Linked DNA regions of Caenorhabditis elegans. The protein of the gene in region 1 purifies or fractionates together with the protein of each later gene. This does not show direct contact. Each region holds a gene or a part of one and is shown on either strand. Other genes may lie near its edges. The genes, in order: wago-1, ZK402.5 and prdx-6.

Region 1 (3,755 bases):
AAAATATTTTAATATCAACTGTTGTCATTTTCTTAAACTCACATGGCTTCATTCCACAAATTACGACCACTCTTCGCGTACTCATTTGCAACATACATTGGTGTTGGAAAAAAAAGAAGTTGGAAGTCTGACAATTTGGTGAAGGTGGCACAATGGAAGTGAAATACACGTTCGAGCAATTCGTCATTTTCCGAGATTAAAAAAAAAAGGATTTGAAGAGGTAGATTTTCCTTGAATAAAAAAATCGTTATTGTCGATAACAGGAGAACTGACAAGTTTCAGTTCAAGGGAATTGATTCTAAAATAGAAAAAAAATGTTAAATTTAATCTCGTGCAGAAACTACTTACAAATTTCGAAGCTTCTTGTTCTCGCGTTCAGTATCTTGAAGCTTCTTTCGATTATTTTCCTCAAAATTGGCTAGCTTCGACAGTTGGCATGTGATTTCCTGTGTCCTTTTCTCTGTTTTCGCCGTTTGATCTTTTAGCATCACCGACTGAAATAAAACTTTTTCTTCTGCATGAAACAAGTGCAAAAAATTACCTTTTATTTTTCGTTTTCCTAATAAATTGAATTCTGAATACTTTAAAAACCAATAATTCTGGTGAGACGTTTGAGAATATCTGTACTTTTTACAGTCACGTCGCGAATCGGGATGTACAGCGCTGAACATTTTCCGCACATTTTCGGCAGATTTCCATCTATTTTAAGAGTTTTCGTAGGGACCTTACACAAATAACAAAATCCAGCAGTCTGCGTTGTTCGACAAGATGTGAGAGCAGGTGGTGATGTAAAATTGCCTTCTTGCTGGCGGGAATCCACATAGGTTGCAAACGATTAACTTCATTGCGATCTAAGCTACAAGCCTGAATTAGATGAGTATCATTCAAAATAAAATTAACAACTAAGTCACTTTTTAAAACATGGAAAGCACACAATACTTGTAAAAAGGAGAAAAATAAGGCTGTACAGCAAAAATAAATTCAAGGAGCGTTCGTTTTAACACTGAGTGGGTCTCGCAGCGATCTCCATTCTTATGTACTGTATGCGTTGTCATTTAAATTTTTTAGGACGAAGAAATTGTTTTTTGTATTCTTTTCCGGTTTGTGACAGTTTTCAATAATTTTTGTTAATTTTCAAGATTATTTTTATATTTTAATAATAATCTAGTTACAAAATCTTAAGAAACTTGCTCGTTGAATCTTAAAAATGTAAAAGTGATCTACATTTGATCTAGCCGCCAATTATCGGATTCTGTATTCTTGCGTCATTAATAATGATGATTTTGTACAAATCTAGTCGTTATTTGTTTTTATGCCGCCTCTGAAACACCGAAAAATCTCGAATCATTATTCTTTTTCGTCGGCAATACGAAAATTCCGTAGTTTGCCCTTTCTTCATAACGTACCATTTTCGTTCTAGATTGATCTCTTGAAGAAAACTGATTTATTTGTTTAAACTATTGTTAAATATCTCACAAATTCATAATTTTCTATAGATGTTCTCCAATCTCGCTTATTCGGTGCAGAATATTATTTATATAAGCTTTTTTCAGAACTAATATTGCAATAGTAATAAGATGTCTCCTCATCCACCACAACCGCATCCACCGATGCCTCCAATGCCACCAGTCACTGCTCCACCAGGAGCTATGACTCCAATGCCTCCAGTTCCAGCCGATGCTCAAAAGCTTCACCAAAGCACTGGCAACGACGCATGCATCAAGCGTTTACAACAGTTAAACGTATGTTTATCAGCATTCAAAGATCTTTCTAATGCCATATTTGCAGGTTGAGGATGGTGCGAAAATGTACATGAAGCCAACCGAACCTGGAAAAATGGGCAGACCAGTGGACATCCAAACCAATGTCTTCGGAATTGAAGTCACAAAGGAAACCACAGTTCATCGTTTTATGGTTCACGCAAAGGCCGATTTGACTTCAACAAAGGAAGTGACTTTCACTAAAAAAGGAAAGGAGGACTTCGTCGTTCAGGATCGTCGCGATAAGTGTTGCAACATCTTTTTCCTTGCGGTTGAGAAGAACCCGGAATTCTTCAAAATGAAGGATGGGAATCAGATTGTATATGACGGTCAATCAACTCTCTACACGACGGTCAACTTGTTCTCAGAACTGGATGCCAACGGTACGAAGTCCAAAGTCTTCCAAATCAACGGAGCTGATACCGGCAATGACGACCTTAAGACCCTGCCTTGCATTTCTCTCGAGATTTATGCCCCAAGGGACAACTCTATCACGCTCTCTTCTGAAAATCTGGGCAAGCGTACTGCGGATCAAAACATTGAAGTAAACAATCGAGAATACACTCAATTCTTGGAACTTGCTCTGAATCAACATTGCGTGAGAGAAACGTAAGTGAATTTCGAAAATTATTAAAAGCATCGCTTCATTTTAGAAATCGTTTCGGATGCTTCGAGCACGGAAAAGTATATTTCCTCAACGCCACCGAAGAAGGATTCGATCAACGAGACTGTGTCGACGTAGGAGACGGAAAACAACTTTATCCTGGCCTCAAGAAGACGATTCAATTCATCGAGGGTCCTTATGGTCGCGGACAGAACAATCCATCTCTCGTGATTGATGGTATGAAAGCTGCTTTCCACAAAGAGCAAACTGTGATCCAAAAACTGTTCGACATCACGGGACAAGATCCTTCAAATGGACTCAATAATATGACCCGTGAGAAGGCTGCGGCAGTGATTAAAGGACTTGATTGCTATTCGACTTATACCAACAGAAAGCGCCATCTAAGAATCGAAGGTATCTTTCACGAAAGTGCCACAAAGACCAGATTTGAGTTGCCCGATGGAAAAACTTGTTCAATCGCCGAGTACTATGCGGACAAATACAAGATCAGTCTACAGTATCCGAACGCCAATTTGGTGGTTTGTAAGGATCGAGGCAACAACAATTACTTCCCGGCTGAACTGATGACTGTGTCCAGAAATCAACGTGTCACCATTCCTCAGCAAACGGGAAATCAATCTCAAAAGACAACGAAGGAGTGCGCGGTTCTTCCGGATGTCCGTCAGCGAATGATCATCACTGGTAAAAATGCTGTCAACATTACACTCGAAAACGAGTTGCTCGTCGCTCTTGGAATCAAGGTTTACTCGGAGCCTCTGATGGTTAGTTTGTGTAAATTGTAAAAAAATATATTTGTTTTCTTTTTCCAGGTCCAAGCACGTGAGCTTGATGGAAAAGAACTTGTATACCAGAGATCGGTAATGTCGGATATGGGAAAATGGCGTGCGCCTCCAGGATGGTTTGTGAAGCCTGCGACTGTTCCTGATTTGTGGGCTGCTTACGCTGTTGGAAATCCAGGTTGCAGATTCTCCATTGGAGATGTCAAGTAAGACAAATAGAAATTTACATGAATCAATTCAATTCTTAAGCCAACTCGTCGGAATGTTCATTGATTCTTGCAAGAAGAAAGGCATGGTGATCAAGCCACCATGTGAAACAGGACTTTACAGTACGGAAAAAATTATGACTCAGCTGGAAAAAGTGGCTGCGAGTAAGTGCAAGTATGTCTTGATGATCACTGATGACGCAATCGTTCACCTCCACAGTAAGTTTTCCTTAAGTTTTCATGGTTCATTGAAAATTTCAGAGCAGTACAAAGCCTTGGAACAGAGAACAATGATGATCGTCCAGGATATGAAAATTTCCAAAGCCAATGCCGTTGTCAAAGATGGGAAGAGATTGACGTTGGAGAACATCATCAACAAAACTAA
Region 2 (3,755 bases), on another chromosome or scaffold:
GGAATTCGTCGCTACATAGTAGTATGTGGAGCTAAATTTCCCACCCCCAGCCAGGGTGCTAAATTTCGCACCTGCCACCCACACTGCAGGGAAAGAAGGGGGAGAGGTGAGTTCAGTTACGGTGATGGCCGAAGGCCAGGGAGCTAAATTTCGCACCTACCCCACCCATGAGAGAAAAGGGGGAAGGCTGGAGTGATGCCGGGGAGCTAAATTTCAAGCCTAGTCAGGGAGCTAAATTTCCCGCCTGCCACCCATGAGAGAGATGGTGGAAGGGTGAGATGTCGGTGGTTTTCAATTTTATATGTATTCTCAAAAGTTATCAGTGCATTCGGCGCGGAATTTTCAGCTTCAAGATTGAAGAATAAAGTTAAGGAGATGTATCAAATTTAAATGTTTGAAGAATTATTCAGTTTTTTGTCGAAACTTTTTTTATTTTCAAAGATTTTCACAAATGATAAAAGATTCCATTTTCCATCCAAATTGTTTATTAAACAAATAAAACGAAAACAAAGCTTTTATTCAGAAAAAAATGGAAATTGTAATTTATAACTTGAATGGCGAGGAGACCAGACACGGTGGCACTTGAATGGTGACTTGAATGGCAAGGAGACCAGAAGCATTTATTCTGTCCTGTAAACGGTAGGGTAAGGTAAAAAAAGACTAAGAAAAAAAACTCACCATACTCTAATGAGTCCTTCAATCTCATCCAGGGCCTCGAGATTGAGAATTATTTTGCGTAATTCTCTGTTCTCCTGACGAAGAAAACGATATAGATTTGAAAAAAATCGGTGCATGAACGCGGTTTGAGTGGCAGGTGCGAAATTTAGCTCCCTGGCTGGGGGTGGGAAATTTAGCTCCACATACTACTGAAAGTCGTCCGAAACTTCTCCAGCAAGCCCAAGCATCACTCGGACACGGCTTTCAATACTGTAATTGTCCAGTTGATCCATGTTTGGCGCAAGCTTTTTATGGAATCTAAATCTAAATTTATTAAAGAGAACCAGGTATAATATTCTCACTTTCGATAATAGGCTCCATCCGAACATCTGGCATTTTCTTTTTTACCGAACTCCATGAAAACTTTTGTTGCCACCAGTGGCTCATTGGCTTCTTTCGTCTTTTCAACAAGAAACGTCATCAATCTTACGTCATCGGCGGAGAGCATGATCTTCGTTGACCTCTTTCGTGCTGCCTTAGAAGATTTACTGTGGATTCTTTCCAACGTGAGTTTTCCGTCGCGTGACTTATAATTGCAGATTCGCATTTTCTTGTCAATCTTAACAGTGCCAGTCGATTTGATCCTGCAACAAACTAAATTCATAAATCTGAAGGTAACATCTCTCCTCACAATGTCATGAACTTGTCCGACACTTTTGCCGACAAGGCAAACGTCACTTGAATGCGTGACACGACACTGTATTCGTTTTTTTCGTTTTATGTTCCGACCCCTACAATACTTTAATACGAATCCTTAAGCATCGTAATTTATTTTCGTTTTTTTTTTTTTGGTTTTTCAAAAATTTCAATTTTTGTTTTTTGGTCCAAACTTTTTTTGGTCCCAGTCCTGTGGCCAACTCTACCTCGGGACAACATAATAGGGGCAACGTTTTTCAATCTCTAAAATAATTTTTGTATAGTTTTATTTGCGCGCATTTGAAAAATCTCATGGGTACGCAAATGAAAAACGCGATTTCAAGATCAAATATATAATCAGGGATTTTTTTAATTTGTTCACATAGATGTTCGGAATCAGGGGAAAATTTGGAGTTATTTAAAAATATTTCCTAGATTTCGGTACCCCACCTTTAATACCTACAGTTGTGACGTAATTTTTCAACACTTTTTAATTTTCCGACACTATTTGAATAACCCCATTCAAAGTTGTATTATTCAAGTCACATGTATTCCGAGAACTTCCTAAATTACAATATATTCGAAATATTATTCATATTGGTAAATATTGATGGATGGATTCCTTTAGTCGACAACATATTGTCACCCCACCATAAAACCCTCAAACATGTTGTCACCGTCTAGATAGGTACGTAGAAAAGAATGACTCACTGTGTTCATATAACCTTGGCGTTAGCAGCTGCACAGCAACATTCTACATTTCCAATCATTCTTTGTTTTACTTGGGTTACTGGTGGTGACCCTCTTCTATTCTTCTAGTTTTCTATATGAACCTTTTCTAATGTTATTCCTATTTTTACTTTAGTAATATTAATTGGTAGAAAAGTAAGTTTTTTTTTGAATTTGTTTCAACAGGTAAGTGGGAATTTTATTTCAAAATATGCAATTTGTTGCTAAATTTTGAGAAATTTATTAAATTGGAAAACTGATAACACTCTTGGTTATCACTTTATTTGAATTTTCGGGCTTTTCTTCTCAAATTTTTTTAATTTTTAAAAGTAGGTGTTTGTCATTGGTGAAAATTATTTAAAACCGCTGAGATAGTGCTATACTCTTTAAATTCTATTATGAAACATTAAAATTTTTCAAATATTGCTTATTAACTTTGATATAAGGTGGATTGATTATTTTAAGTTTAAAATACTGTGTAGGAATACTCAAAGAGTTTAAGAAAAGCATTCAAAAATGCTGTGGAGTAGCGCCAGTGGGAAAAGTGCTAAAACTATTAGAAAACTATTAATATGATGCCAAAATGACCAAATATCACAACAAAACTTTTTAAAATTTTTTTGAAATTTTTTATTTACTGTCAAAAAATGACGATTGACAACTCATTTTTTGCCACTCATAATTCTGGAAGTCGACCAAAAATTTTTTTAAAACTTAAACTTTTTATATTGTAATTTTGTTTCAATTATTCGTATTAAAGTATTGTAGGGGTCGGAACATAAAACGAAAAAAACGAATACAGTGTCGTGTCACGCATTCAAGTGACGTTTGCCTTGTCGGCAAAAGTGTCGGACAAGTTCATGACATTGTGAGGAGAGATGTTACCTTCAGATTTATGAATTTAGTTTGTTGCAGGATCAAATCGACTGGCACTGTTAAGATTGACAAGAAAATGCGAATCTGCAATTATAAGTCACGCGACGGAAAACTCACGTTGGAAAGAATCCACAGTAAATCTTCTAAGGCAGCACGAAAGAGGTCAACGAAGATCATGCTCTCCGCCGATGACGTAAGATTGATGACGTTTCTTGTTGAAAAGACGAAAGAAGCCAATGAGCCACTGGTGGCAACAAAAGTTTTCATGGAGTTCGGTAAAAAAGAAAATGCCAGATGTTCGGATGGAGCCTATTATCGAAAGTGAGAATATTATACCTGGTTCTCTTTAATAAATTTAGATTTAGATTCCATAAAAAGCTTGCGCCAAACATGGATCAACTGGACAATTACAGTATTGAAAGCCGTCTCCGAGTGATGCTTGGGCTTGTTGGAGAAGTTTCGGACGACTTTCTGACACAGTAAAAAATTTTAAAAAGGTTTTTGAGTTAACGAATAGTGATTTACAGAGTTCAAACGGAGGGAATTGTCGTGCTCAATGATGGCAAACGAATTTGCGAGTATGCATCACGTGATGGAAAGCTGAAGTTGGAGGCGGACCACAGTCATTCGGCAAGAATGAAAAGAACATCTGCATATCACCGAAAGGCTGGTCGACACGTGCACATGGTCATGAATGCAAGTCAGACGACGAACCAAGCCGAGAGCGACGAAGATGGCGTAGATTCGGCGACTTCTCTTCCTAGATCTCCGAAAAGAGCGAGAACTGAAATGTATAT
Region 3 (3,755 bases), on another chromosome or scaffold:
TCTAAAAATATGTAATTCGACTTTGTTCGTGAATTCATTTATTGAATTTTCTAGTTTCACGTGGTGTCAGGCTGTCCCATTACCACTGGGTTCTGGCCTTTCTCATTGAATTTTCGCGCTCCGTAAATCTACACAAAATCTCTCCGACCCAAAATGGCCTAGTTCGGCCAACTCTGCCATTTCGATTTATAAGGGAAGCCAGAAATCCGTGCATCACGGTTTGATCTACAAAAAATGCCGGAATTTTTTGCCCAAAAAAAAGTGACGTCAGCACGTTCTTAATCATACGAAATCAGTTAAAAACTCTGCGTCTCTTCTCCCGCATTTTTTGTAGATCAACGTAGATCAATCCAAAATGAGATACTCTGACACCACGTGTAGTTTGGCAAACAGTTTTAAAAAAAACGGAGTCATTCGAAAATTGTGGAAAATTTAGCTTTTTCAATTTTTTTGTTTCAGGAGGCTTGCAAAAATCTACTTGCAAAAAAAGCAAAAATAGTTTTTTTTAGAATTCAAATTTCAACAAAAATCTATTGATTATTCGAATTCTGTGAATTTTTGAGATCCAGAAATGTCTGAAAACTTGAATTCTCTCCCCTCGAAATCTTCTCACTCACACAAAATTTCTGCCGAACGTAGCCGGATAGAGAATCTTCGATTTGAGCTTCTTATCAGGTCCAAAAAGCATCACAGCACGAGCCGAAAGACAGATTCCCTCCGAATTCATCTCATCCGGATCAATCATTCCGAGTTCTGTACAAATCGATCGATCCGTGTCGGCGATGATTTCAAATGGCAAATGGCTTCCGCAATTGCTCAATTGTGCCACCGAATTAATGTCTTTTGCCCAATCACGATGAGTTTCTGATGAATCGATACTGATCGCAAGGATCTGAACATGGCGTTTGCGGAATTCGGGAGCCAATTTGACGAGCTCGGCGAGTTCTGTAGTGCAGACGGGCGTAAAGTCGGCCGGGTGACTGAACAGCATCAGCCATCTGAAAATTGGATCGTTTTGGATTGGAATTTATTTTTTTAATAAAAGAATTTTAAAGTGAAAAAGTAGATTTTTGCAAAAAAAAATTATAAAAATTCTGAAATACTTTTTAAATGTGTTTTTTCAACTTTTTGCGAAAATTATTCAGGACTTTTTTAAAATATTTAAATTCACCTGAAAATGTAACTTTTGAAAAAAAAAATTTCGAAATGTTTTTAACATTTTTTATATAGTAAATCGTTAATTTTTTAGAAAAAAAAAATCCATATTTTTTTGGAAAATAGATGTTATTAAAGGTGGAGTAGTCGAATTTTTATTTATTTCTTTACTAGACTCAAAATTGTCTGAAAACGCCAAATTTCAACATGAAACTTCTTGAAAACTTCTCAAAAAAAAGTTATGACGGCTTAAAAACTAGCCTAAAATTAGTTAAAATCGAAAATTTGACCGACTTGTCAATGTCGAAGCGGCTGGAACCAATTTTTTTTGAAATCATCGTCAAATTTTGAGTAAAGGCGACATTGAAAAGTAGGTCAAATTTCTAATTTTAACTAATTTTAGGCCATTTTTGAGCCGTCTTAATTTTTTTTTTGAGAAATTTTCATGAAATTTCATAACGAAATTCCTTGTTTTCAGACAATTTTGAGTCTAATAAAGCAATTTAAAAAAATCCGGCTACACCACCTTTAACTCAATTTTTCATTTTTTTTCAAAATTTCCAAAAAAATTTGTTTTTTCAAAATCCTTTCAAATTAACTCAAACTATCCAATAAAGTACAACCAAATTAACAATTTTTTCTCCAAACTCACTGTTCTCCAATGTAGTTGTGCAAAGTTTGATTTTTGCGAAGATCCGTTTCGAATGTAAAATTTGGAACGGTGTCTCCGAGCTTCATCTCTTGAGTTTTAATCTGAAATTTATTATAATTTTCAGTTTTTTGAATGTTTCAATAAAAAAGTAAAAAATAGTTTCTTAAGAAGATAATATGATTTGGCTCAGCAAAGAAAAAACAAAAAAAAATTTCCAATCACAACAAAATTCAATTTATTTCGTTATTTCAGGGAAATGTTGACATGATTGTGTAGGTGATCGTGATCTACCGTACCAGTAGACACCTTCGTGTTGCTCGAAAAAATGTGAAAATTCGAGAAAACAACTCAAAAATAGCCAAGAAAAGGGCGGAGCGTAATCCAAATTAAAATCGCTAATAGGCTCCGCCCATATATTGGCTTTAAGCTTTTATAAATATCAAAAGCTTTCAAAATTTCAGAATTTTTTTAAAAGAATTTTTTTATTAATTCAGTAAAACTTAATTGAAACGTGCGTATTAAATCATTTATACATAAAAGCCATGAGATGGGCGGAGCTTATTTTGTGGTTTTTGTTCCCGGCGAATGTCATCTGTTTTATGTGTTAGACTTCACTTTCCAATCGGATATTTGGAGTGGTGTCGGACAATGAAATTATTTGTAATAAGCTCCACCCATTTCTTGGTTTTTTAAAATTCAATTTCTTAGATTTCAGCATTAAAATTGTTCTAAAACAAGAAAATTTAATTGGTTTTTTGTTTTGAAAATCTAAAGAGCTTTAGACCAAAAAGTTTGTTGAAGGAAACTTGAGAACCCGAACACAAAGTAAATAAAACAATTTTATTTCACTTTTTTCAGCCTCAAATTATTTGGAATAGGCTCCGCCCATTTCTTGGTTCTTTCAAAAATTCCATTCAATAGATCCCAGCAAAAATTAAAAACAAAAACAAATAATTTCCAGAAAAAAGTTAAGAAAAATTTAGATAGCTAATTTTTTTTCGTTGTTTTTAAACAATTAAAAAAAAAATTTCCAGAAAAAAGTTTTTCCAACGTTTTTTTTAGGAATTTGATTTTTTTTTTTAATTTTTGATTTTTCGCTTTAAAAAGTAATTACAAAAAAACTTTTTTTAAAAAACTGAAAAGGTTCTAAGCTTAGATAAAACTAGCAAATTATTTGAAAAAAGGAAAAAAATCAAAATATAAAATCATTGGTAGAGTAAACAAAGGAAAAAAAGCAAAAAAAAAACGTTAAAAATAATAGAAATTTGATTTATTATTATGACGGGGGGAAAAGTACACATTTATCACAGTTAAGACGGGTTTTTTGTAAAATAAAGTAATTTCTACGAAAAAAAGGGGTATAATTTGTAAATTATTGATTAGATCAAGGACAGGGATGCAAATTTTGAAAAAAAAATCATTAAAAATTACTGAAAAATCCCACAGAAAATGCTCAAAAACTACTAGAAATTTCGATTTCTCGAGAATTTTTTTTTTTGAATATTGTAGCAATTTCCGCTGGATATTTTCAATGAGAACCTCCCAAAAAAAGAGATTAAAAGCTGCAAAATTGAAAATTACACAGAAATTTAGATGCACAGAGAGATCCAAAAAGAACACAAAAATACAGTATTCAGATTTAAAAAAAATTTAGATTCCACCGAGCTCATCAACTTCATCATCATCATCTTCAACTCCGGATCGATCCCGTCGGAGCACCACGATATCTTCTGAGTCTGACGTTGGACTCGTCGTTCCTGCTCCGTTTCGTTGTAGGAGTTCCTGAAAAGATTAAGAATTAAAAATTGTTTTGGAGAATGGAAAATTTTCTTTAATTTCCATATATTCAAGAAAATTTGCAGGAATTTTTGGAAAATGTCATAGTTACTGAACCGTTTCTTTTTTATGATTTTAATTTTTAACAAAAATTCGTCAAAATAATAAATAA

What was found.
Region 2: the proteins of wago-1 (region 1) and ZK402.5 fractionate together in Caenorhabditis elegans (co-fractionation; one large-scale study listed by BioGRID). This does not show direct contact.
Region 3: the proteins of wago-1 (region 1) and prdx-6 fractionate together in Caenorhabditis elegans (co-fractionation; one large-scale study listed by BioGRID). This does not show direct contact.

What each region holds. Positions count from the first base shown.
Region 1 is NC_003279.8:7,233,831-7,237,585, forward strand, and holds the start of wago-1 (Argonaute protein wago-1), read left to right. Parts: upstream 1-1,553; 5' UTR 1,554-1,577; coding exon 1,578-1,742; intron 1,743-1,788; coding exon 1,789-2,369; intron 2,370-2,413; coding exon 2,414-3,146; intron 3,147-3,194; coding exon 3,195-3,370; intron 3,371-3,413; coding exon 3,414-3,589; intron 3,590-3,631; coding exon 3,632-3,755. Other genes in the region: R06C7.2 (BEN domain-containing protein), read right to left, coding at 43-230, 274-298, 349-671. UniProt on the Caenorhabditis elegans protein: Argonaute protein which is involved in the endogenous small interfering RNA (endo-siRNA) pathway. Interacts with secondary 22G-RNAs, which are RNA-dependent RNA polymerase-derived endo-siRNAs, typically 22 nucleotides in length with a 5'guanosine residue.
Region 2 is NC_003284.9:1,399,726-1,403,480, reverse strand, and holds the start of ZK402.5 (SPK domain-containing protein), read left to right. Parts: upstream 1-2,121; 5' UTR 2,122-2,238; intron 2,239-2,850; 5' UTR 2,851-2,942; coding exon 2,943-2,950; intron 2,951-2,997; coding exon 2,998-3,279; intron 3,280-3,323; coding exon 3,324-3,437; intron 3,438-3,485; coding exon 3,486-3,749; intron 3,750-3,755.
Region 3 is NC_003282.8:216,705-220,459, reverse strand, and holds the start of prdx-6 (Thioredoxin domain-containing protein), read right to left. Parts: upstream 1,909-3,755; 5' UTR 1,894-1,908; coding exon 1,808-1,893; intron 999-1,807; coding exon 618-998; intron 1-617. Other genes in the region: Y38C1AA.1 (Phospholipid/glycerol acyltransferase domain-containing protein), read right to left, coding at 3,458-3,589.